Notamacropus eugenii: one gene and its partners. The protein of the gene in region 1 interacts with the protein of each later gene in a pairwise test. Links are inferred from orthologs where the notes say so. Each region holds a gene or a part of one and is shown in the gene's direction. Other genes may lie near its edges. The genes, in order: PKNOX1, NUP58 and PBX2.

Evidence for each region.
Region 2: the proteins of PKNOX1 (region 1) and NUP58 interact in binary tests that used the Homo sapiens proteins (3 or more experiments, as listed by UniProt). The link is inferred for Notamacropus eugenii from reciprocal best matches to the Homo sapiens genes PKNOX1 and NUP58.
Region 3: the proteins of PKNOX1 (region 1) and PBX2 interact in binary tests that used the Homo sapiens proteins (3 or more experiments, as listed by UniProt). The link is inferred for Notamacropus eugenii from reciprocal best matches to the Homo sapiens genes PKNOX1 and PBX2.

The regions. Positions count from the first base shown.
Region 1 is NC_092876.1:415,902,238-415,910,659, reverse strand, and holds the start of PKNOX1 (homeobox protein PKNOX1), read left to right. Parts: upstream 1-5,259; 5' UTR 5,260-5,361; intron 5,362-8,422. UniProt on the Homo sapiens protein: Activates transcription in the presence of PBX1A and HOXA1.
Region 2 is NC_092876.1:192,733,682-192,741,390, forward strand, and holds the start of NUP58 (nucleoporin p58/p45), read left to right. Parts: upstream 1-4,203; 5' UTR 4,204-4,443; coding exon 4,444-4,553; intron 4,554-7,709. UniProt on the Homo sapiens protein: Component of the nuclear pore complex, a complex required for the trafficking across the nuclear membrane.
Region 3 is NC_092873.1:85,935,532-85,943,309, reverse strand, and holds the start of PBX2 (pre-B-cell leukemia transcription factor 2), read left to right. Parts: upstream 1-4,153; 5' UTR 4,154-4,453; coding exon 4,454-4,674; intron 4,675-5,574; coding exon 5,575-5,648; intron 5,649-5,977; coding exon 5,978-6,225; intron 6,226-6,325; coding exon 6,326-6,516; intron 6,517-6,668; coding exon 6,669-6,804; intron 6,805-7,013; coding exon 7,014-7,167; intron 7,168-7,550; coding exon 7,551-7,639; intron 7,640-7,778. Other genes in the region: GPSM3 (G-protein-signaling modulator 3), read left to right, coding at 1,451-1,498, 1,678-1,777, 2,038-2,234, 2,555-2,692. UniProt on the Homo sapiens protein: Transcriptional activator that binds the sequence 5'-ATCAATCAA-3'. Activates transcription of PF4 in complex with MEIS1.

The DNA.
Region 1 (8,422 bases):
ACTATTCTGAACCAACAGAACTTTCTAGCTGGTTGATACGAGCTAAGTACAGCAGTATTCTATTGATGCTCAGAACTAAACAAAGGAACTTGCAGAGCTGGGGGTCGGGGTGCAATCAGAGCTGTCCTAGATTAAATCAGTTTGAGAGTACTGAATGTTTATAACTTCCCAGCCTTTCCCATTGGTCCTGGAATAACCAATACTCAATACCCCCAAGAAAGCAGAAACAGAAACAGCCCAGACCTTCCCTCTATAAGTGCTACTAATTAACCCCCGGACCAAAGTCAGGAAATAGACTAGAAGAATGGGCAAACAAAAGAATTGCACTATAAAGAGATATTTTGGTGGCAAGGAAATTTAAGACGCAAAACAGAGACAAAAGAATGACTCCAGAACATCATAAAAAATACAACTTGGGCAAAATAATAATTATTATAGCTGACTTTTAAATAGCACCTACTATGTGTCCAGGGGAGAACTAGCACCATTGGGGTGAGAGATTACTGAGCCCTATTCAGAGCTGCTCCTCTACCTTTGGTGTCCACCTTTTTCACCCAACTCTTACTTGTGGCTCTAAGAACCTGTAGCTTGCTAACCAGTTACACCGAATAAAACCATTTTGGCAAATGAGCTAAAGCAGGTTGAGGGTAACCAACAAATGTCAGACCTGGCGGTGAGTTAGAGGGATGTCTGCTCCAAGCATATGAAGACTTCTTCCTGGAAGAATGGGTAGAAGGGAACAATTTGTTCCAGCAACCATGAAGGCAGCTAAAGTAGGCACTGTGGGGAACACAGAACTTGGTCAGATATCACAAACACCAAAGTCATTCACTGCATCCTGGGCCATCGTTAGTCTTCCTGACCTTTGCCTTGCCATTGGACTTCAATGACTCAGGAAAAGAGAATAAAGCTGAACTCTTCCACACTTAAGTCCAATTCATGCACAAGTCAAGACATGGCCATTATGTTTTTGGTCCTCTTTGAAAATGAAGGAGGAGCAACTATGTGCCAGGCACTGTGCTAAGTGCTGTGTAATTATTATCTCATATGATCCTCACAACCATAGGTGATAGATGTTATTATAATCTTCATTTTACAGATGGGGAAGCTGGGGTAAGTAGAGGTTAATTGACTTGTCCAAAGTCAAATAGCTGGTAAGTATCTGAGCCTGGATTTGAACTCAGTTATTCCTGACTCCAGTGTTTGGTAAATACAAAGTCTCTAGTTACTAGGGGAAAGACTCACTATTTGATAAAAACTACTGGGAAAATGGGATAGCATTCTGGCACTTATTAGGTTTAGACCAACCACTTATACTATATAACAAGTTGGGATCCAAATGGATACATGACCTAGATAAAAAGTTACAATATAAACAAATCAGAGGAACAAGGAAGAAATTACTTTTTAGATTCATGTGCAGGGGGAAAGTTTGTGACTAAATAAGTTGTCACAGAAGATACAATGGATAATTTTGAGTATATAACATTTAAAAGTTTATTTTTTAACAAATCTAGAAGGGAAGCAAGCAATTAGGAAAAAAATCTTTAACAAATAAAAGTCTTATATACGAGATACATAAAGAACTGATTCAAATTTATAAGACTAAGAGCCATTTCCCAATAGATAAAAGGTCAAAGTATGACCTGGCCATTTTCAAAGGAACAAATCCATCCTATCAATAAAATATAAAAAATATAAAAAATCATTAATAGAAAAATGCAAACTGAAGCAACTTTGATGTTTTGATTCACCTATCAGACTGGCAAAAATGATAAAAGAGGAAAATGGTGAATATTAGAGGGGTTGTTGGAAAATAGATATACTTGTACAAATAAAAGGATCAGATTATTTGATTTTTGTCAATCTTTATGCACTTGTTTAATGTTTTCTAGAAAAAAAACTATGCAAATGTCACAAAATTTAATTCATCTTACTTTTCCTCAGTTCAAACTGTAAAAGTATCAAAAATCACCTTCAATGCAAAACTAATGAATGTAAAAATGTTTTAGCAGGATTTGCTTCATATGATAATTAATTGCATTAATATATTTCCTGGGGCATATCTTGAATTAGTCCTCTTAATGAAGAATAATCAACAACGAAAATAATGATAACAACACTTGTGCAGCTATTCCAGAAGGCAATTTGCCCAGAAAGTTACCAGCCTGTTGTATGACCCTTCTATAACACAAGTTGGCCTATGCCCCAAAGAGTTCAAAGAAAGTGGAAAATGACCTATATGCACAAAAATAGCAGCTCTTTTTGTAATGGCACAGAACCAGAAACTAAGGGGGCATCCATTAATTGGAGAATGGCTGATCAAATTATAATATGTGAATGTAATGGAATACTACTGTGTTTTAAGAAATGTTAAAAAGGAAGTTTTCAGAAAAACTTGGGAAGATTTGTGCGAACTGAGGAGAATCAGGAGAATAATTTATGCAATAACAACATTGTAAAGATAAGCATTGCAAGATCTAAGAACTGTACTCAATGCAATGCCCAACCACTATTCCAGAGGACTCAACAGTGAAATGTGCTATCTACCTCCTGACGCAGAGGTGACGTACCCAGAGTGTAAAGTAAGATAAATCTTTTGAACATGACCAATGCATGAATTTGTTTTGCTCGAGTATGAATATTTATTATAAGGGTTTTTCTTTCTTTTTTCATGAGGTGGGGAGGTGGAAGGGAGAGAGATGAATTTTCATCGAGTGAAAATTTTTTAAAAAAATAATATCAATATATAAAGAAAATATATGTCCAACAAAAGCAGTGGTCATTGTGTTGGAGTAGATCCAGTATAGAGTTCAAGTTGAAGATCTGTTACCCATAAATGGTGATGTCCTTCAGGTTTGTTGTTTACTGGTAGTTTAGAAATACCGAAGAGGTTGCTAATAGAGATAAATAACCTCTCAGTCTGAAAATCCACAAAGAAAAGATCCAAATGGATAAAGAATGTCTATTGCCTAAGTTATGACGTTTTTATGAACAAACTACAAAGTTTGTCTATCATCATATATATCTGAAACATTGTTTTCATGGACAATTAATTACATAGGCTAAGAATTGAACAGGAAGAGGAGAGCAGTCTGTATAGTCTTTGAAAAATTGCAAAGCACCTTTAATGGTCCAAACTTCTCCTAAAAATAAAGTTTCTTCTTTTTAATACTAACATTCTATTAGTGTCGCTGCATGGAAATGAGATATTGGATAAACAGTTCCTGAATAATAACATTTTATTTATATAGCTTTTTAAGGCTTGCAAAGCACTTTATATTACAGTTGAAAATAAATATCACAAAAGGCAATGAAGAGACACATGGTAGATGTAAACACATAGCAACAAATGAAGAACTTCAAAGAGCAATAATAAAAATTGTCATCAAAGAAATGTGTGCTAGGGAAAGATAGTCACAAAGTGAGATCAAGCCATTCTTGGTGGAATAAGAGGGCTCCGCAGGTAATCTTTGTAGTACCATCAAGCCAAAGTAAAGATAGCTTCCCCCTTTTGGTGAATTTATGGAAGGACATAGATAAGTACTGAACAGGATGGGCAAGCATTTGTGTAATCTGCACCCCTGAAGAGAATTTCCAAATTAATGAGATCATACATCCATTTGAGCAACTGAGTTAACATAAAATATTACCTTTTCTTTCAAGAAAACCAACTTCACAATTACAAGCATAGAGATTAAGAGTTTCCATGCATTAGACAGCTAGATGGCACAGTGGATTGAGTGCTTGTCCTGAAATCAGGAAGATCTGAGTTTAAATTCTTAGACACACACTAGCTGTGTGACTCGGAGCAAGTCACTTAATCTCTGTTAGCCTTAGTTTCCTCAAATGTAAAATGGTAATAATATTAGCACTTACCTTCTAGGGGTATTGTGAGAACAGTAAAACATCTATGCTTAATATTTGCTAGTTTCTTTCATTATAAATCCAAAATGAATTTACAGTGTGACATGGAAGCAAAAAAAAAAAAAATCTAAAGATGAAGATAGTCCAATTATACTTTACTTTGCTCAAACCACACACAGAGTGTTTCTAGGTCCCACCATTTAGCTAACACATTTATGAGCTGGATGGTGAATGACCTTGAGTTAAAAACATATGAGAATTTACTGAAAGAACTGAGAAAGGCTTAGCATAATGAGAAGACTTAAAGTGGCTTGATAGCTGTTTTCAAGTATTTGAGCCTGTAAAACGTAATAGATTTATTTTTCTTGATTCCACTAGATAGATATAGGAATACTGGGCAGAAATTGTAAAGAGGAAAATTGAGGCTTCGGTAAGGAAACCTTTCCTAACAATTTAGTGTCATTCAAAAGTGGAACAGGTTGCATTCCCATGGGGTGCTGCTCTTCCTCAAAGGGAGGTCTTTAAGCAATGACTGAACCATGGGTCCTATAAATGAGATTCTTTTCTCAGGTACAGACCGGACAAGAGGGTCATCGAGGTCCCTTTCAATTCTCAATCTCTGAAAAAGAAATGTAGCCCAAAGTCGGAAAAGGAAGGTTTGCAAAGTTCCTTTCGATTTTTGTGGTGTTGTGCAAAATCCCCCGAGCGATCACTCTGCTGTCAATTCGAGCCTTTAATTTTTAAGGAATCTGCAATAATTTGTAAAACGTTACTAGGTTAGTATGCATTACACCTTGGGCTGGTAATGGGATAGAAGAAAACTAATCAATTCTTTCTAGACGGTGAAATTCTGCGTTGGGTGGGGGGGAAGCAGGGTCTTGGTAGCAGTCCCTCCTCCCTAGTCCCCTCCTCCAACCTGGAGGAAGCCTTCATCCACCCAAGGATCATCTTCCCTCTACAGTTTTGCACAAATGCACGCGAGTCAAGAGATTACGATTAGAGAAGGAAGGGCACAGTGGTGGTCGGATAAAAAAGGGCTGGGGGAGGACTTCCAGTACCTAACCAACAAACACATTTTCAAAACCTCCCGAACTTTGGCCAGAGGGAGAGTGGGCGTGGCCAAAGGCTCCTCCCTCCCTGCGCAGCAAAAAAAAGCTAGGGGTGTGGCCTGTTCCTCTTAAGCATGGAGGCGGAGGGGGGAGGGGCAGGAGGGCCCAGAGAGGAAAGGCTGCGTTCCGAACTCCCTCCCAGCCCGCCCCTTCTCCCAGAGTCCCCACCCCCTGAGCGCAGACTCACGGGGTGGGAGGAGCTTCCCCTGCGAGGGCCCCGCCTCTGCTTTGAATATTGATAAGGTGAGCGTCGGCGTAGCCCTCCTTCCATTGAATGAGGCTGTGTCGCGTGGCCCGGCGTCGGCGTGACGGTTGGACGCGGGTGCGGCACTGCGGGTCCCGATTGCTGCAGCCGCTTGTCAGTGTGATGAAGATTGGCACCCAGGTAAGCTGTCACTCAACCGCTCCGCCGCCGCCGCCGCCGCCGCCGCCGCTCTCCGCCGTCCCTATCAATCACACCGGCCTCCCCGCCGCCGCCCCACTGCTGCCGCCCAGGCCGTTCGTGGGGAGAAGAGATGCCACTAAGCCGCGCCCAAGGGCATGGAGCAGGGACGGGGCAGGGGAGGGGGCCGCGTTTGAATGCAGGAGGGACCGGAAAGGCGGGGGGAAGAGGAGGCCGAGGGAGGCGGCCCACCCTGCAGTCTGGAAAGGGTTTCCACGGTGTTGGTGTCCATACGTGAGACTAGGAAGGAGGAAATTTCTGGAAGGAGCCGCCGCGCTGGGCCCCGCTGCGAGGCGCGCGCTCCTAAACCGTCCCTGGTGGAGCACTGCGCGCGCTCCTGCACGGGGCGGGGACAAGGGGGAGGCGGCCGGCAGGGGAGGGGGCATGGGGAGGCGCGCTGGGCCGCGCCGCGGGGTGTGGAGCTCGGCGGGGGGGAGCCGGGGAGGGCGGAGGAGGGGACGAGGCAGCCGGGGTGGAAGCGGGCGGCCGCTGGTCGCCGCCTGCAGTCGCGCGGCCTTCGGCGGCTCAGCTGAGGGGTGCCCGGGCCCGGGGTGGGGGGGAGAGTCTTCTTGAAGGTGTTGGGGAGCAGAGCCGTTTAAAGGGACCGGTGGGGCGCTTTGCTCCATCCCCGCTACTTCCACCGACCCAGACTGGTGCAGCTTTTTCGGCTTTGGGGTTTTGGGGGCGCGGGGGAGAAGGAGGCTGGAGGACGGCGAGGGCAGCGGGGAGAAGAGAGGTTGTATAATGGTGGAAGGAAGAGTTGAAGATGGCGGCTCCTCCTGCTCTCAGGATGGGGGCAGGGAAATCCCTGGAAGAAGGAGTAGGGGGTGGGAAGCACCTCCCTGGCTGGGTGCGCCTGTTTGGGGTGGACTTCCCCACCCCACCCCCCTTCAGCTGTGGTAGTGGTTGCAAGCGAGAGTCGTATCTGGCAAGCAGCAGGCTTTCCGATCCTGGCCGTGGGACAGAGTTCAATTTCGTTTGGCTTTTCTGTGGCCTTCCCCCCCATTGAGCTTAAGCCACTGACTTCCACGTGCGCTGTCGTGGGATGTGCAGTTTCTTCCCATCTCTAAAACTTGGAACTGGATGGGAAGCTGGAGACCAGAATGCCGTTAATCACTACAATAATGAAAATATACCAAGCCCTTGAAGAATCGACCATAAACATGAACACTTGCTTCATGATATTTTCTCCCTATTTCCCAAATACTGTTTTTTTAACCGAGTCAGATCATTAAAAACAAAGAATAATTTTTTAAAGATCTGTACCTCGTGTCTTACACAAGTTAAAATGTACAATAGACCCCCCTTTAAGGCTTAGATCTTGGAATCCAGGGAATGTCACTCACTAGTCAATGGAAGCATAGAAGGCCTGAGAGGAAGGTTAATAGATCTTTAGTTATGATTCCAAATAGAATTTGGCAATTTTCGTCATCCTTATAAGGCTGACTCAGTTAAACATTTCAGAACCTGCCATTCAATAATAATAGCTGACATTCGCATACATTTTGTAAAGTTTGTGAAGTACTTTGTTTGGTTCTTAGACCTTATAACAACTCTGAACTAGGCACTTACGGGTATTTGTATCCCCTTTTTACAGGTCAGAAAACTGAACTCAGAGAGGTATAAGTGACTTGAGTTGCCCCTTAGTGCTAATAAATATGGCAGATAGGATTTTTTAAACCTTGAGTCTTCCTGACGCCAAGTTTAGCACTCTTTGGACATTTGTCTTTTCCAACCTTTCCAAGGCCAGACCCTCCACATTTGCCCTCAGAATCAGCATCCTTTTCTTCTTCAGCTGAATCTGGTCCCATTGTCATCCTTTAGCTCTCTAGTACTCACCTTACCTATTGATCTCTTTTCTACTCATTACAAACCTGCTAGCTTCAACTCTTATCTTTAACTCCTCTCTGGACTATATCAACCCTGCAAACTGTTAATCCTTTTTAACTTCTTGAAAAATCCGAACTCACTTACGCGCTGCCTTCACTTGAAGTCTTCTCACGTCTCAGTTTGTTAGTATCTCGTTCCCTAACTTGTCCATTCAACAGAAACTTAAAAGTCACAATCTTTTAATTTTGTGAATAATTTTATTGATGTCTTTTGTTTTAAAATTTGTTTACTGTATCCTTTCCCTCTCAGTGGCCTCCCTTACAGAGTAAGGATGGGGACTGCACTTACGATTCTCTCTACCACTGCAGGTTCTCATCTTTTCAGCAACTTAATATTAGTGAGTTGTGACTTTAATGAAAGAGAAGAAAGGAAAAAAATTTGTAAAACTAGGTATCATATCAAAAAGATTGGATATAAGCAGTATTCCACACTCATGGTCCCCTCCTTTGCTAAAATGTAAAAAAAAAAAAAATAGGAAAGGTGTCTTTACATAGGTGTTATTTGATAGCCAGGCTTGGTCGATTGTTCTTTCCGTTTCTATTGTCTTTGTTTATGTTGTTTTCCTGGTTCTTTCCATCCTTTTTTGAGAAGCAGCAGCTGTACTTTGCATCAGCTAGTGACTTCTAAATTTGCAAAATATGATGACACTATGTTGGTTCTTATCCTTCTCCAACTTCTTTACAGAGTTTGACACTGTTGACTATTATCTCCTCTTGGATACTATCTCCTCTCTAGGTTTTTGAGATGGTGTGTTCTCTGTCTCTGTGTCTTTCTTTTACTCTCCCTCTCTCTCCTCCCCACTATTGTTTTCTAATTTCATATGTTTGTCCTCCATAGCATTTCATAGGTTTCCCCCAAAACTGTATGCTAGGACTCTTTATATTTTTTCTGTTGGTGACCTCATTAGCTCCCATATATTCAATTATTTTTATAAAGAGGAGACCCAGATCTAGATTATGTAGCCCTTAGTCTTTTTTTCAAGCTCCAGGTCAGTCCTGTATTAACTCTCTGCTCCCAAACCGAATTTATCCTCCCCCACCCACCACCCTATCAAAAGCTTCTAAAGGTCTAGAACATTTATTGAGAAAGGGCTCTGGACAATTAACTTGATTAT
Region 2 (7,709 bases), about 220 Mb from region 1:
TTTAAGTGAGGGAGGGCTGTACAAAGTCACAAGCCTCACTATCTCCTCCTGAGTCATCTGGGTCCAGTGACAAGATATAGATCAGGACTATTGGAGATGGCCCTGGATGAAGTGGGAGACCTTGACCTTTTTAAGCTAAGATCTTTCCCAGGTCTGTTTAACTAAGGCAACACCCATTCAGTGATTAAGGCTAGGTAAGAAATGAGGCAAAGAATGGCCTCTTTCATGTAATCAAAAAAAAAAAAATCTATCTTGGGAGGGGAAGACCCTGAGGTTTTCTGGCCAAAACAGAAACAATTACTATTTACATTCACTCTGAGACAATCAGGGTCCAAACAATAACCAAGTGGGGCTTGGCCTGGGACCTATTCCTTGACAATCAATGAGAGCCAGAGTGAATTACGTTTAAGGCATTGTCCTTAAGCAAGAATTCTAGCCCTTAAATCCCAAGATATCTTGCTAGGTTTCAACCATCAAAATTTACATACTTTGGGCAAAGCACTAGCATATAAGGATATGATAACCCTAAGTGGACAGAGGGAAGGGAAAAAGGAAGGGAAAGGTTTAGGGAAGAGTAGAGGGAAAGCAAGGTGTGGAGGGAATTCTGGTTTTTATAATAATCAATATATGTGTAATGAATACACCAATAGATTTGATTTTGCAGAATTACCTTTTCTAGCTTGTGGGTCATTCACAATGCAGTTTGAACTCATAAATCAAACCTTGACAAGACTCAATCACTGGCATCCTTCTGCCTTCAGACCAAGCCTGTAGAACCTGTGACCCACTAAGTAATGACCCCCTGTAGCGTGGGTGAGATACCTACAGCAGGATATGCATATGCAGGTGTATTTTGAGGGTAAATTCGCAAAATATAAACTCTCTTCCTCAAAGATGAAACAAAGATAATTTATTCAGATACCAGAAAGCCAATTCCACCATAGTAACAATGAACTTTATACACATTACCAATAGAGAGCACAGCCATCCCCAAGCATTCCCTTGGTCAGGCCTCCCCACAAACAAGGCCCCTTAGGCAAAATGCCCCTCTCCCACCTAGGCTAGCTGCTCTGCTCTGACTGTTGTTGCCTCTCAGCTCCACCTTCCTCTCTTCCTGCTGTATCCTTCTTGCTCCACCCATTCAGCAAGCTCCTTCCACCATCAGCTCTATGAGACTCAAATTGTGGACTGGGCCAAAGCTCAAAGCAGGTCACATGGGCCTATTAAGGGGCAGGGAAGATTTTCAAATTCCCTTACCATTACACTCCCAAGACTTGGGCAGTGTTGCTCTTATAGGACTCCAAAATTGTGGGTTTATCCTGGGAAACTACTCTGGCCCTGGGAATGACTGTAATCCACCTTCTACTCTTCTACTCTTCCATCCCATTGGTGTTTTATGTATAGAATTTCTGTCATCACTTCAGCAAGGTGGAATTCTGATCAGGAGAATTCCTGATTTGCAAATCTACTCCTCATAATGAAACTAATTAATTAAATGGCTACCTGATTACTTGCACTTTGTCTCTAGTCTGCAGTTGCATCATTCTCAGATTAAAAAATGACTCAGTAAAATCCTGCTAACAAGGGAAAGGATGAAAGAAGGAAGGAGTTGCATTGTCCAACTGGAACCGGCCAGTTGGATCCCCAGTGAAGCAGCTTGGACTACTCACAAGTCACTGTTTATCCTTCATTCTCAAAGAGAACCATGACATCAGGAAGATGATGCTAGGACATGCAAATGAACTGGATTTAAGGGCTGTGCAAGGTCACCAGTCTCACTTTCTCCTCTGGAGCCATCTAGCCAGTGGCAAGATATAATCAAAATGACTGGAGATAGCCCTGAGGCTGGATGGGATAGTACAACAAAGGAAGTAATGTATAATCAGAGTGGACTGGTAGGTTGGGGTCAGGTTGTGAAGGACTTTAAAAAACCAAACAGAAGAGTTTATATTTTATCCTACTTACAATAGGGACCACTTAAGTTTATTGAGTAAGGGAATTACATCATTAGCTCTGCACTTAAGGATGATCAGTGGCATCTGAGGGAAAGAGGAACTGGATGGGTAAAGACTTGAAGCAGGGATAGCAATAAGGCAGTTTTTGCAATTGTTTAGCTGAGTAGTGATGAGGGCTGTTGACCTGAAAACTTGGTTAAAGAAAGGCAGCAGGCTAAATGCATACATTTTATGATTTAATTAATTAATTAATCAATTCCCTATTAAAGAAAACAGTTACATAATGCATTATGGAGCCAGAAATGTTCTGGCTACCCAGTGCAGAAATCTTCTGGCTTATATACATTTTGCCGTGAGAAAGGAACTCTCCTAGTTGAACAAATCATAAATTTAGTAAGACAAGACAATTAACAAAGTAATGTCAATCAAATGTTGAGATTCCAAGCTGGGTAAACATATGTCTTGGTGACAAGGAAGGAAATCCCACCCCAGATAACTGACACAGGAAGGGGCAAACAATGTTCAATAGAAATTATGACCTAAGATGTCTATATTTTCTTTACCATTAATATGCCATAACATAGTATGTGTCTATAGATAATAAGATACAAAGGAAAGACCCATTATTCAAGATATGTCATAGGTTAAAGGTCTCCAAGGAATGCAGAGTCAGCTTTGGCTGGCTTTTGCTGACATAGGAAGAGGCATTCTCTGAGTTTGCTTCAGAGAGAACAAAGAGATTATTCCAAAATTTTATATTAAACATTATCAGGGCCTAGACTAAGGTGGTGATTAAGAGTAGAGAGAAAAGGTTAGATGTGAGAAAAATGTTATAAAGGTAGAAATGGAAAGATCAAGCAACTCAATGGATATATGGGATGTGGGAGAGTGAGAAGCATTTCAACAGAAACAGTGAAGTTTGGAAGAAAGGTTGGTTTGGGGGAAAAGAGAATGACTACTATTTGGCACTAGAATTTAAGATGCCTACAAGATGCCTACATTTAAGATGCCTATCCAAGTTCAAAATGTCTAACAGGTAGTTGGTGATGTGGGACTAGAGATCCAGAGACTGCCTAGGGCTAGAACAGGGAGTTATCTGCATGGATGTTAAGGCCACTTGAGGAGCAAGAAGCTCCCTTTTCAATGGCTGTCCTCCAGGCAAGTAATGCTCTTCTACTTGATGTCCTCTATTAACTTATAAGCTTTTTTCTAGTCCCGGCTGAAATCCCATTTTCTTCAGAATGGCTTTCCTCTCTTAATTATCTCCAATTTATCTTGTATGTATCTGTTGCATATATAGTTGTATATATAACGTATATGTATGTGTATATATACATACATACACATACATGTATGTGTATGTATGCATGCATATATACATTTATATGTGTGTGTATATATATATATATATATATATATATATATATATATATATATATATATGTATATGGTTGTCTCCTCTATTAGACTGTGAGCACCAATAAAGCAGAGAATTTAATTGGTTTTGCCTTTCTTTGTATTCCCTGCACTTAGCAAGTGCTTAATCAATGAGAATTTTTTTTCTGGCCGTCCCCCAGGCATGGAACTCTCTCCTTCCTCCCCTCCCCCAATGGCCTCCTTGGCCATTAAAAGCTCCTCTTTTGCTGGAAGTCCTCCCCAGCCCTTCTTAATTCTAGCCACTCCCTTCTGGTATTTCCCATTCCTAGGCTTTGGATTAAGGGTTATGGAGCACCTTTCATTTTAGAACTGTCAAAAGGAGGATTCAGAAGGGCCAGATCCATAACGGAGGCCAGGCTTTCTATCCTAGCGAGTTTTTAAATTACCATTACCTCGCTCCTCAAAATCTTGGTAATTGTGCAAAAGTTCACTTACAGCCATTTTGACTCACTTTGTCCCCTCCTTTTTTTGTTTTAATAGGGACTGAAGTGGGCAACACCCACTAATTTATGACTTTGCCTCTTTTACTATCCCTGGCCGTAACACAACGTCTGGCACAGTGGGCGCTTAATCTTGATCGATGATTGATTGATTGGACCGCTCTGGGTCACAGCTTCCTCATCCGTAAAATGAGGTTTGAGTCAATGACACATAAAGTCCCTTCTTGTCTCTAAACCTGTGGTCCAACATTCTACCTGGGGCCCCGATGCCACATGTGCCCACGAAATCAATCACATTAAGGCGAAGGACAGGGCACTCATCGGAAGGGTGGCTCCGGACCGGCCCCTGTCCCTTTAAGACGCGCGCTGCTGACGTCGCCCGGCTTCCATCCCATGGTGCACCGCGGTGGCTCGGCCGGCTCCCGCGCGGCGGCGTGCGCGGGCCCAGGGGTTGCGGCCGCTCGCTCGCTCCTCTTTCCCGCCCCCTGGTTTGGACCGAAGTTCCCGCCCGTCCGCTAGCCCGGCCGGCCACTGTAGGGGGGATGCTGCGGGTTCCCCTTCGGCGCTGAGACGAGACACGAGGCCCAGGCCGCGGCTGGCCGGCTTCAACCATGTCCACGGGCTTCTCCTTCGGGACGGGGACGCTGGGCTCCGTGGGTACCGCCACGGGGGGCACCGGGACCACAGGAGGAGGGTTCTCCTTCGGGACGGGCACCTCCAGGTAAGCTATCTCCTCCCCGCCGCAGCCGCGCGCCCCTCGGCCCCGGCCCAGCTCGAACGCGGGAGCGTCTCGCGGGCCGGCCTCCCCACCTCCTCGGCCTGACGTCCGGCTCCTTTCTCGCCCCTCCTCCCAGGGCGGAGCCGGCGCCGCCCCTCCTTCCCCTCCCCCCTCGGAGGAGCCGCACTGTCCCCGCAGGGTTCCGCATCACCCAGGGGAGCTTCGCTCTTCTTCCTCGGCGGTCTTCACCTTGGGCTCTGGCGGCGCAGTGTGAGACCTCTGCGGGCTGCCGAGGGCTTGCGGGCGTGGAGGCCTAGGGATGGGGGCGAGGGGACTGAGCGCCGGATTAGAACGGCGGCTCTTTGTGTTTGCTTTTCTTTGTGAGCCCAGCGTTTGGGTAACACTTAGCCCGGTGCCCGGCCCGGAGAGAGCGCTTCTTCATCGTGGGCAGCGCCGGGGATACCGAGAAAGGGCAAAAAGTGGTCCCCAGAGACAGGTTCTTGGTGGTTCCAGGGGCTAGGGCCAGGATGCGTAGCCTTTTTTGTGCCCTTGGGCAGACTGGGGAAAGCTGTCGATTTCTTCTCAGAATGGTTTTACATGTGTAAAGTAAAATACACAGGAATGAATTTTTTCCACTCTCCAAGTTCACTTACACTTTGAAATCTGTCCTCAGATCCCAGGTGAAAAGCCTCTTCACTAGCAGATTGGATAGGGATTTGAATCCAGACTCTTTGGTTCTATATCAGATTCTGAAATTCTTAATATTAATGAAACTATTCTCTTAGTGGGTTTCATCGATGACTTCCAGGGCCCAGGAGCTTAGACTTCTTATTTGTACGGTGATCTTTCTAATTTGATAGATGTGTATAGAGAACTTCAAGCTTTGGAATTTTGAATACTTGAGTCCCAAGACCTACTGCTGACAGAGACTGGCGTTTTGACAAGTCACTTAACATCTCAGTGCCCTAGGCAGCTCTCCAGGAGTTTAAATTGAAGGGTAGGGTCTGAGTTTCCTATACCAATGAAATCATAGGTCCAGTCCCTACCCCTATATTAGGTGTAAGACAAAAAATAAAAAGGTATTATAATAATGACAATAGTTATCATTTATGCAGCATCTACTTTGGGCCAGTCACTATACTAAGGACCTTACAATTATTGCTTCATTTGATCCCCACAACAACCTTGGGAGGTAGGGCTGTTATTATTATCATTTGCATTTTACGGGCAAATAGAGGCTAAATAACTTGCACAGAATCCTCAGGGCTAGATTTGAACTCAGGTGTTCCTGACTCCAGGCTCACTGCTTTATTCACTGCTCCACTCTAGCTGCCTCCCATGAATAAATTGTTTAATATTTATCATTCATATTTTGCATGGCATAATGTTAATTTTACAGCATTTGGTATTTGTGATCCTTCTTTGTTTTTTGATGTTGTTTATAATATGTCACCACTGTATTCACACTTAGCTCAAACCTTAGACTTTGGAGTCATCTTTCACTCCCTGTCCAATCCATGATTTCCTGCTTCCCCACCACCAGATCCCATGCCATACCTTGTATATGCTTCTTGTATATCACTTATATTCTGCTTTATATTACATTTTAGACATGATTCAGGATCAATTTATATGTTGTAAGGCCTTGTCTAAACCAGTTGATCTACTATATTACATTTATTTGTTTAGGTGTCTTAATATGCCCTGTGAGATTATAGTTAGTTCCTTGGGGCCAGAGACTTAATACAACTTCTTCCATGAAGCCATGAGGTCTTATCTGATCTACCAGCTAGAAGTAGCTCCTTCATTTCCAGCTTCCTTTCTCTCTGATCTTTACTATGTATAGAGATTTCATAGAATACTAGAGCAGGAAGGGAGCTTAGTGATCTTCTAGTCTATTCTCATCCCTCTCCATAAAAAAACAGGCTCATTGAGGTTAAGTGACTCTCCCAAAGAGGTCACATAACCAGCAAGTACAGAACAGGTTTCCACATGCTTAGGCTAGTGCTGTATCCATTTGGTCTCTTTATTACATTCTAACCTGTTTTAGAGTTATCCTCCACGATCAGAATCTTAAGAGGGCATAGATTCATTTTTTTTCTTCCTTGTATCTCCAGCATTTACTGCCATTACTATTCTACATTTTGTTGCTCCTTGTTTTCAGTCAGATCTGACTCTTTGTGACCCTATATGGAGTTTTCTTGGCAAAGATACTGGAGTGGTTTGCCATTTACTTCTCTAGTTCATTTTACAAATGAAGAAACTGAGGCCAACAAGGTTAGGTAACTTTCCCAGGGCCACACAGCTAATAAGTGTATGAGGCCAGATTTCAGCTTGGGAAGATGAGTTTTCCTGACTTCAAATAGAACTCTGAATGCCTAGGTGTCCTTTTCTACTATATTCTGCAGAGCAAGTGCATAATACGTGTTCTTGAATTATCCCCTTTTGTTTTCTCCATAATGATTTGCCCATAGATATTCACTGAATAGATTTTGGTTGAATAAATACTAGAATTTTACCCAAGTTTAGACTGGAATTATTTACATTGTCTTTAGAATGCAAAATGTAAATTATTGGTTTAGCACCTATATTGAGACCACAACTAGACCTATGATTTCACTGGTATAAAGAACTGTCAGATGAAGAAATACGTACCAATGTAGGTCAACATTTTCTTTGCAACTTACGGCCTTGAGAGAGTTACCTGGAGCAGGGCTTCTTAAATTTTTTCCACTCAAGACCCCTTCAGTGCTTCTTAAAGCGCATGATATGGGACCACAGTTTAAGAAACACTGGCCTAGAGCATTGAGAGGCCAAATGATTTATCAAAGGTCACACAGCCAGAGGCAGCATATAAACTCAGGTCTTCCTCTCCAATTACATCTGTGATGCCATCTATTTAATAATTTTGTTCAGTGAGTTCTGGTTGCTTCAGATAGAGAGCCAGAAAAGGACCATAGTCAACTGAAATCAAAGTGATGGTCCCTAAAGTTAGAATTCTGAATCCTAATAAGGTTTTGACAGAGAGGGCTATTGTATATAAAATAAGAAAGAATATATAGATTGGATGAACACTGATATTTATCAAGTCTAAATGTTTTGGAGAGCTTGGGAAGGTGAGAAGAAAGAGTTTGTATGTGACTATCTTTGATGGGAATC
Region 3 (7,778 bases), on another chromosome or scaffold:
ATGTAGAAGCTTCTCAAATTGGAATTCTTCATTCAATGTGGAGGCATCCAGGAGAGGGCAGGAAATTCCAAGACAGAAGAATTTCTGTTAAGTCATTTGGTCTCTCTGAACTTCAGTTTCCTCATCTGTAAAATGGGTATAAACCGTGAATGAGTAGCACCTTCCCTTCTCTTCCCTGCCCTCCCCTCCTGTTCTGCACAGGGTAAGGTAAGCTCCATGGCCAAAAGCTGCCTTTTTTCCTTTGGGTTTACTGGCTACATTTCTTGCTCAAAGATCAAGCCTTTAACCTAATTCATTCTGGAGCTCATAGACTAGACAAGTCCCCACCCACCTAGCACAGAGTGGATGCAATAACTAAATGGTAACTGTTTCTCTTTTACCCAGGAACCCTGAGGGTCTTCCTCTCCCAGTTTGACTTTTTTTTTTTTATTAAAGGGGCCATCTCTTGAGTAACTTAGAGAAGCCTATTCATTGAGTAGGTGTATCTCACTCAAAGTAAGATTGTGCTAAGACCTTAGCCTGAAAGGGCCTGGGTCTTCCATTGCATCCTGGGCTATCTCCAGTCTTCCTGCTAAATATCAGGCCACTAGCCCCAGAAGGCTCTGGAGGAGTAAGTGAGGCTGGTGACCTTGCACAGCCCTCCCTCACCCAAATCAAAGTCAACTGCAAGTCATATCTTCATCTTGATGTCGTGGTCTTCTTTGAGAATGAAGGACAAATACAACACAATATAATATTGGCACTCCCTACATCAAGATTTGTTTTTGTTTTTTAATGAAAGAAAATGATAGATAAATGTGAAGTATCACCATTAAGATCCTCCAGCCTCCCAGCAGGAAAGAACCTCCCCTAGCCCCTAGGTGGATATGGGCAGGGGGAGTGGGGGTGGGGGGTTTTACAGAGAAAGAATCTTCTATAAGGTCAAGGCTATTCCCTAAGGGAGGGGAAGGACTGAAGGGGGGGAGGAGTAAAACCACTTCCTCTACAGCTAGTTCCTGTGTTGACAGAGTCAGCTAGGAAGAACAGACCTGTTTTGGGGGGAGGTGTAAAGAGAAAGAGGGAGCAGTGCTGAAGACTGATAGAGTCTCCCCAATAGCTATTTCTCTCCATCAACATTCATTTCCCCAGCACTCTCAAACTGACAAAAGCAGATTTTATTGTATCCCTCACACTCCCTTGGGGATAAGAGACTGAGAGTAGTAGAGGGTGGAAAAGGGGAACAGGAGGAAGTTGGGGGGGAGCGTCACCAAGAGCGATGGGTGGGGCTTAGGATGGGGGGGGGGGCGATAACCCAGAACCCAGCTTCCTTCTTAGAACCCAGGCATCTGGCCCTCAAGCTCTCCCCCCCCAACCCTATTCCATCTCTTGCTACCTTCAAGGGCTCAGGTGTCCAAGCCTACAACCATCACTACTGCCTCCAACCCCCTTCCCACCTCCCCTGTTAAAGGGGATGGAGACAGAGAGACTTCAGGAAGAAGAGGAAGATGAGATTGAGCAGGTGAGTAGGGGAAAGTTGGGAGGAAGGTATAAAGAGGAAAATAGGTACAGGAGAACAAATTAAGACTCTTAGAAATACAGAGTATACAGACAGACAAACAGAATGGGTTGGAGTTCCAAGCCAGGCACTTTGTCTTGCCTCGGGATTAGTCTATCTGTGACCCTATCTATCATTCTCAGAGCTTTCCCCCAGATGATCAAGGCTGGCCCCCCCTGAATACTATCAGACCTTGGAGATCGGCACCCCCAACCCCTCCCCATTCCAGGGACCAAAACACAGGTAACTCAACTATTACTTCTCTGTGCTGCTTTAATCATGACCCCTGACCTCATTTCTGGCCTTAGTACTAATCTCAGACTCAATTCTAACCCCTGCCTCATTTCTAACTGGCAGGCTCCCCATCACCCCACTTCCCACCTATAAAGAGTGTGCCTTTTACAGCCCTCCAATATTCAATCCTCCCCCACCATATTTCTTACTGCTTCTCATGTCCCTATCTCCTTAACCTCTGACCATCACCCCTACACATATTCCCCCAGCCCTAGGACCCCGCTCGGCCTCCATGCTCTCCTTGCAGACAGAACTCTTCCTAGACTTAGTAGCAGAAGCTCAGTCCAAAAGGCTGGAAGGACAGAGAGCCACCTTCCATACTCCCCCTGGCTCCCTAGCCACATCTGCCCAAGTCCAGGTTACAGAGGACAGAGACCAGCTCTACAGCACCATCCTCAGTCACCAGGTGAGACCAGAGCCTTCCTCAATTCCCTTAGGTATCCAGTTCCATCCTGCCCCTCAGTCCCCAGGTTCCCTTTCATACAGCACCCATTCCTCTTACAGACCCAGGAATCTGTAACACCCCCACCCATTCTACCCATCTGTCCTTATCCCAACTTTTGTTTCCTTCAGAGAGAAAATCAGGTATCTAGCCCCAACCAGTTCCTAGATGCTCCCCTACACAATCACCCAACCCCCCAACCCCAGGACATCATTCCCTCAGGATCTTAGGCATTCAATTTCCCCTCCCCTGCTCACCTTACCTCTGCCCCTCCTTCTCCCCAGTGCCAGCGCATTGAAGCTCAGCGGTCAGACCCGCCCCTTCCACCAGGAGGGCAAGAGCTCCTGGAGCTGCTGTTGAGGGTGCAGGGAAGTGGTCGAATGGAGGAGCAAAGGTCCAGACCTCCTACACATACCTACTGAGCTCTCCCCTCCCCTCCTGAAGTTGGGGGTGGTGGAGTAAGGGACTGAGAACACTGCCTAAGAATTGTCTCAGCGAAGACCTGTCTCCAAAGGACACTAGGGACTGCAGAAGGCAGTGAACACCTCAGAATCAACTCCCCACCTCCATTCTTATGTGTGGGTGTACTGATGCTGAGACCCCTAAACTTTCCCCACTGAGGCCAGGACACCTGGAATTTCTCTAGGAGAATCAAGATTGGGGATAGGACGGACAAAGAAGAACAAGGACATTGTGGAGGGGGAAGGGGGTGAAAAGGGGAAATCTTTGTAATTTAAACTTTCCCTGAATGACACCTACCCACTTCCGTCCCACTTGGATCTGAAGTGCTGTGGTCAGAACAAAATTCAGTCTTAAGGAATGACTGAGACTATCTGGATCCGACCAGACGTACTGCCAGAAAATGTCAGTATCCCAAAGGTTTCACTGCCCTCCTAAGAAATTCCCAGGGGAAGTGAAAATGGGACAGCACCTCTACACCTTACCCCAGGTCTGTACCCAAGCTGAAGACTTCAATGCCCCCTGAGGGGGATCAATTTCCATCTACACTCCCTCCCTGCCTTCAGAGAGGCCAAGACCTTTGAGGGGATAGAGTGCTGCCCTAGATAAACAACTGTGGCCTCTTTCCCCCTTCCCAGCACCCTCCTTTCCCTTCAGTGAGGGGAGGGGTTTGGGAACTCTACCATCTTTCTCATCTTTTGAGAGGATGGGATGAAGGGGGAGATCCAAAGCCCGAGTGATCAGAGATATCACACCCCTTCTCCATCCTATCTTCCCAGATGTTTGATGTTTCAATTTTGTGAATAAATTTAATTTCCTTCTCAACTGAAGACTGGTGACTAAGTGAGAGGGGGGGGTGGGATCATTGGGGAGAGTAGCAAAGGGGAAAGGCCTGAGGCAAGGGCTGGGGAGCTCTCCTTTGTCTGGCTGCCGGCCAGCTCACCTCCCAGGCTGGTTAATTACTGGCTCATTAAGCATCGGCTGGAGACCTCCCTAATTACATGCCCACCCCCTCCCCTCCATGCCCGGCTCCCACTCTCCTGGTCTTAATTAAGTAGAACAGGGAGGGGAGTCTTTAGGACAAGAAATATGAACGGAGCTGTCCAAGAACCCAGGCATCTGGCATTCTAGCCCCTGCCCTTCTCAGGATTCAACTGCTACCCCTCCCCCTCCGGATCCTGATTTCCTTCCCCACTGAAGACCAAGATAAGCCCCAGACCCACAGTTTTCTCCTTTCCATCCTTCTCCCTAAAGAACCTTCTCCTCACACCATCTCCCTCTCCCCTCATCTCCTTCTCCTCCTTCTCCTTCTCTTCCCCCCCTCCTCCTCTTTGGTCTCCGTTCTTTGGTCTATCTCTCCGCCCACAACTCCTCCCTGTTCCTCCTCTCCTCTCTCCTCCTCTTCCTCCTAGTCTCCCCTCCCCCAGCCTCCCCCCTCCTCCCTCCCTCTCTCTCACACACACCCCCGCCTGGGCCTCCTCTCTCTCCGGCTCCATTTTCTCCGCCGCCGGGGGCCGGGGTCTCCTCTGGGGGGGCCCAGCCCATACCCCAGAGCTCCCCCCAAGGCAGGGACCCCCCAGGAAGCCAGGAGAGGGGGAGACAGGAAGGGGTGGTGGCAGTAGGAGCATCGGCCCAAGCAATTTTTCAAGAAAAGGGGGGAACCCGGGAGAGAGGAGGGGCTGATAAGGGAGGGGGCTCCGGGGGGAGGGGGGCCCCCCCCAGCCATGGACGAAAGGCTACTAGGGCCACCCCCTCCAGGCGGGGGCCGGGGAGGCCTGGGACTAGTAGGTGGGGAGCCAGGGGGACCTGGGGAACCTCCCGGTGGTGGAGAACCCGGAGGCGGGGCTGGGGGGGTCCCAGGAGGACGGGGAAAGCAGGACATCGGGGACATCCTGCAGCAGATCATGACCATCACCGACCAAAGCCTGGATGAGGCCCAGGCCAAGTGAGTCCCCCCCAAACCCTTCTCCAAATCTGAGACCTCTTCACACAGATGGGCTTTTGGGACCCTCCCCCATATCCCTGACCCCCTACAGTCCTCTCACTGTCTTTTGGTCCTTTCTAAGTCCCCCTAATTACTTTACCTCCTCCCCACCCCCTTACCCTAAGGAACTCTTCACCTCCTTAGACTTGCCCTCCACAATCTCTTTCGGTGCTTGTGAACTCCCTAAGTGCTCAGTCCCACTCCTGACCTCTCAGTAACCCCTAAACCCCTTGAAATAACCAATCCTTCAAGGTCTCCTTTTAGTACCCAGTCTGGGATTTTTCTCTTCACAGCTTCTAGTACCCCTACCCGCAACCACCCCCAGATCACTTGGTCACAATCTCCTGGTCACCCCGACCCTATCATTTTATCTAGATGCAGAAAGAATCCCCAAACTTTCCCACTTGAGCTTCCCTTGCTCCTCTACTGTTAGCTCCCTACAACTATCCCTTCCCCACAGTCCCCCTGTAATATCCTCCTAGTGACCCCACAAACTCCTCACCTCATTCCGTGCCCTGGCCCCCAAATATATTTTTCCATACCCCTTTGAAACTCATTCCCCCATGTTCCAGAACACAGTTTTCAATCTGTGGAGACATTTTTTTCAGTCCTCCCATGACACATATCACACACACACACACACACACACACGCATCCCTGGCAGACTTGGTCCCCTGCTCTGGCCCTCTGGTCTCTCAATTCCTTTGCCCCCATCCAACTTCTTTCTACCTTTCTTATTTCTCCCTGGAGTTCTCTCTCTATTCTTGGCCCTCACATTATTCAGTCTCTTCTCTAACACCCACAAAGCTCTTGAACTGACTCTTCTATCTTCCATCCCTCTTTTTTCCCCTCCTCCCCCAGGAAACATGCCCTGAATTGCCACCGAATGAAGCCTGCTCTTTTTAGTGTCCTATGTGAGATCAAAGAGAAGACTGGTATGTATGCTCCCCTTTCGCACTCCTTTCCTGGAAATGAAATCCATCTCACAATAGAGGTAGGGGAAACAGGGGGGATGTCTGGGTCCCCAACAAGTGGGAAGGTAGTTATGCAGAGTTCCCCAAGGAAAAAAAAAAAGAGCCTGCTGAGTAGTTAGATACCATAGACCTATAGCTAAAAAGAGTTCCCAACCCCCTCATTTTACAGATGAGGTAACTAAGGCCCAGGAAGGTTAAATAAAATTGCTTAAAGTTACACAGATAGTAAATGTGGGAAGTGGGATTTGAACCTACACCCTGAAGCCCCAATGCTTCATCCTGCATGGCAGGCCTCAGTATCCGAAGCTCACAGGAGGAGGAGCCTGTGGACCCCCAACTGATGCGTTTGGACAACATGCTTCTGGCAGAAGGGGTGGCAGGACCAGAGAAGGGAGGAGGGTCTGCAGCAGCTGCAGCAGCAGCGGCAGCCTCTGGTGGTGGAGTATCTCCTGACAACTCCATTGAGCACTCTGACTATCGAAGTAAACTGGCCCAGATCCGCCATATCTACCATTCTGAGCTGGAGAAGTATGAACAGGTACAGAGAAGCCTTTTGGGCCCAGGTCAAGGAGAGGGGCATTGGGAGGCTATGGATGGGACTCCACATACTAATCTGATGCCCCTGGTTATCCACCTAGGCGTGTAATGAGTTCACTACTCATGTGATGAACCTGCTTCGAGAACAGAGCCGCACACGGCCCGTGGCTCCCAAGGAGATGGAGCGTATGGTTGGTATCATCCACCGAAAGTTCAGTGCCATTCAGATGCAGCTCAAGCAGAGCACATGTGAAGCTGTCATGATCCTTCGCTCACGTTTCCTGGATGCCAGGTGGGGATTTTGAAATCTAGGATCCTAGCCCATGCCTCTTTTACTAGCCCTCTCCCCCTTATAGACCACCACCAACTGTCCCCCTCCCCACCACCACAATTCCATCTCTTAGGGCTCCAGCATTCTCACAAACCCTCTCCATTTCCCTGCAGAAGAAAACGCCGTAACTTCAGCAAACAGGCCACTGAGGTCTTAAACGAATATTTCTACTCCCACCTGAGTAACCCTTATCCCAGTGAAGAGGCCAAGGAGGAGCTCGCTAAGAAATGTGGGATCACTGTCTCCCAGGTAATGGTGTCAGGTACTGTGGCATGAAAGGCTTCTGTATCCCAAGGAGAGAGGGAGAAGAATAGAGGAGAAGAATAAGAAGAACTGAGAGGAAGGTTGTCAGTTCTTGGAGGGATGGAGGAAAGCAGGGCAGTCAAGTGGGGGTGGGGGGGGTCTTCAGAAAATGCTATTCTCCCTCTTAGCCCTCTCCTCTCCCTTGCACTCCAAAGGTCTCCAACTGGTTCGGCAACAAACGGATCAGATATAAGAAAAATATTGGCAAGTTCCAGGAAGAAGCAAATATCTACGCAGTGAAAACTGCCGTGTCTGTTACTCAAGGGGGGCATAGCCGTGCCAGTTCCCCTACACCTCCCTCTTCTGCAGGTTGGACCTCTCATCATTCCTTTGGTTTGCACTCCTGAATTTGTTTGCTTTCTTCTCCTGTCTGATCTCAGTTAAAGCAGAAAGGGACCCTATCTGGGTGCAGGTGACCAAAATGGGATGGTTTGGAACATATCACAGCCATCTTAGAGAACTTGCCCCTTGCCTTCGCTTCTAAACAGAGAAGGTCCATGGGAAGGGTCCATTTGGAGGGAAGGAGAAGATGAAATCTTCCCTTTCTGTACTGACAATGTTTTTTGCCAGTTCCTTGCATATGGAAGTAAACTTCCTAGGGAAATGGTTCTGTGGGGGATCCTGGGTAGAAGAAATGGAATCCAGATATCTGAGTTTCCCATCTTCCTCTCTATTCTTCTGCTTCCTCATAGGCTCTGGTGGTTCCTTCAACCTCTCAGGATCTGGAGACATGTTCCTAGGGATGCCCGGGCTCAATGGAGACTCCTACCCCAGCTCCCAGGTCGGTTGCACAGCATAAGGCTCCTTCTCAATACCGCGCCCCCTCCACACTCCCTGGAATATGCACACATGCATTTCACCTTGTAATTCTAGGGTCTAAGAACCATTTCTCTTGCCCTGGTCTCCCTTTTCCTATGGGA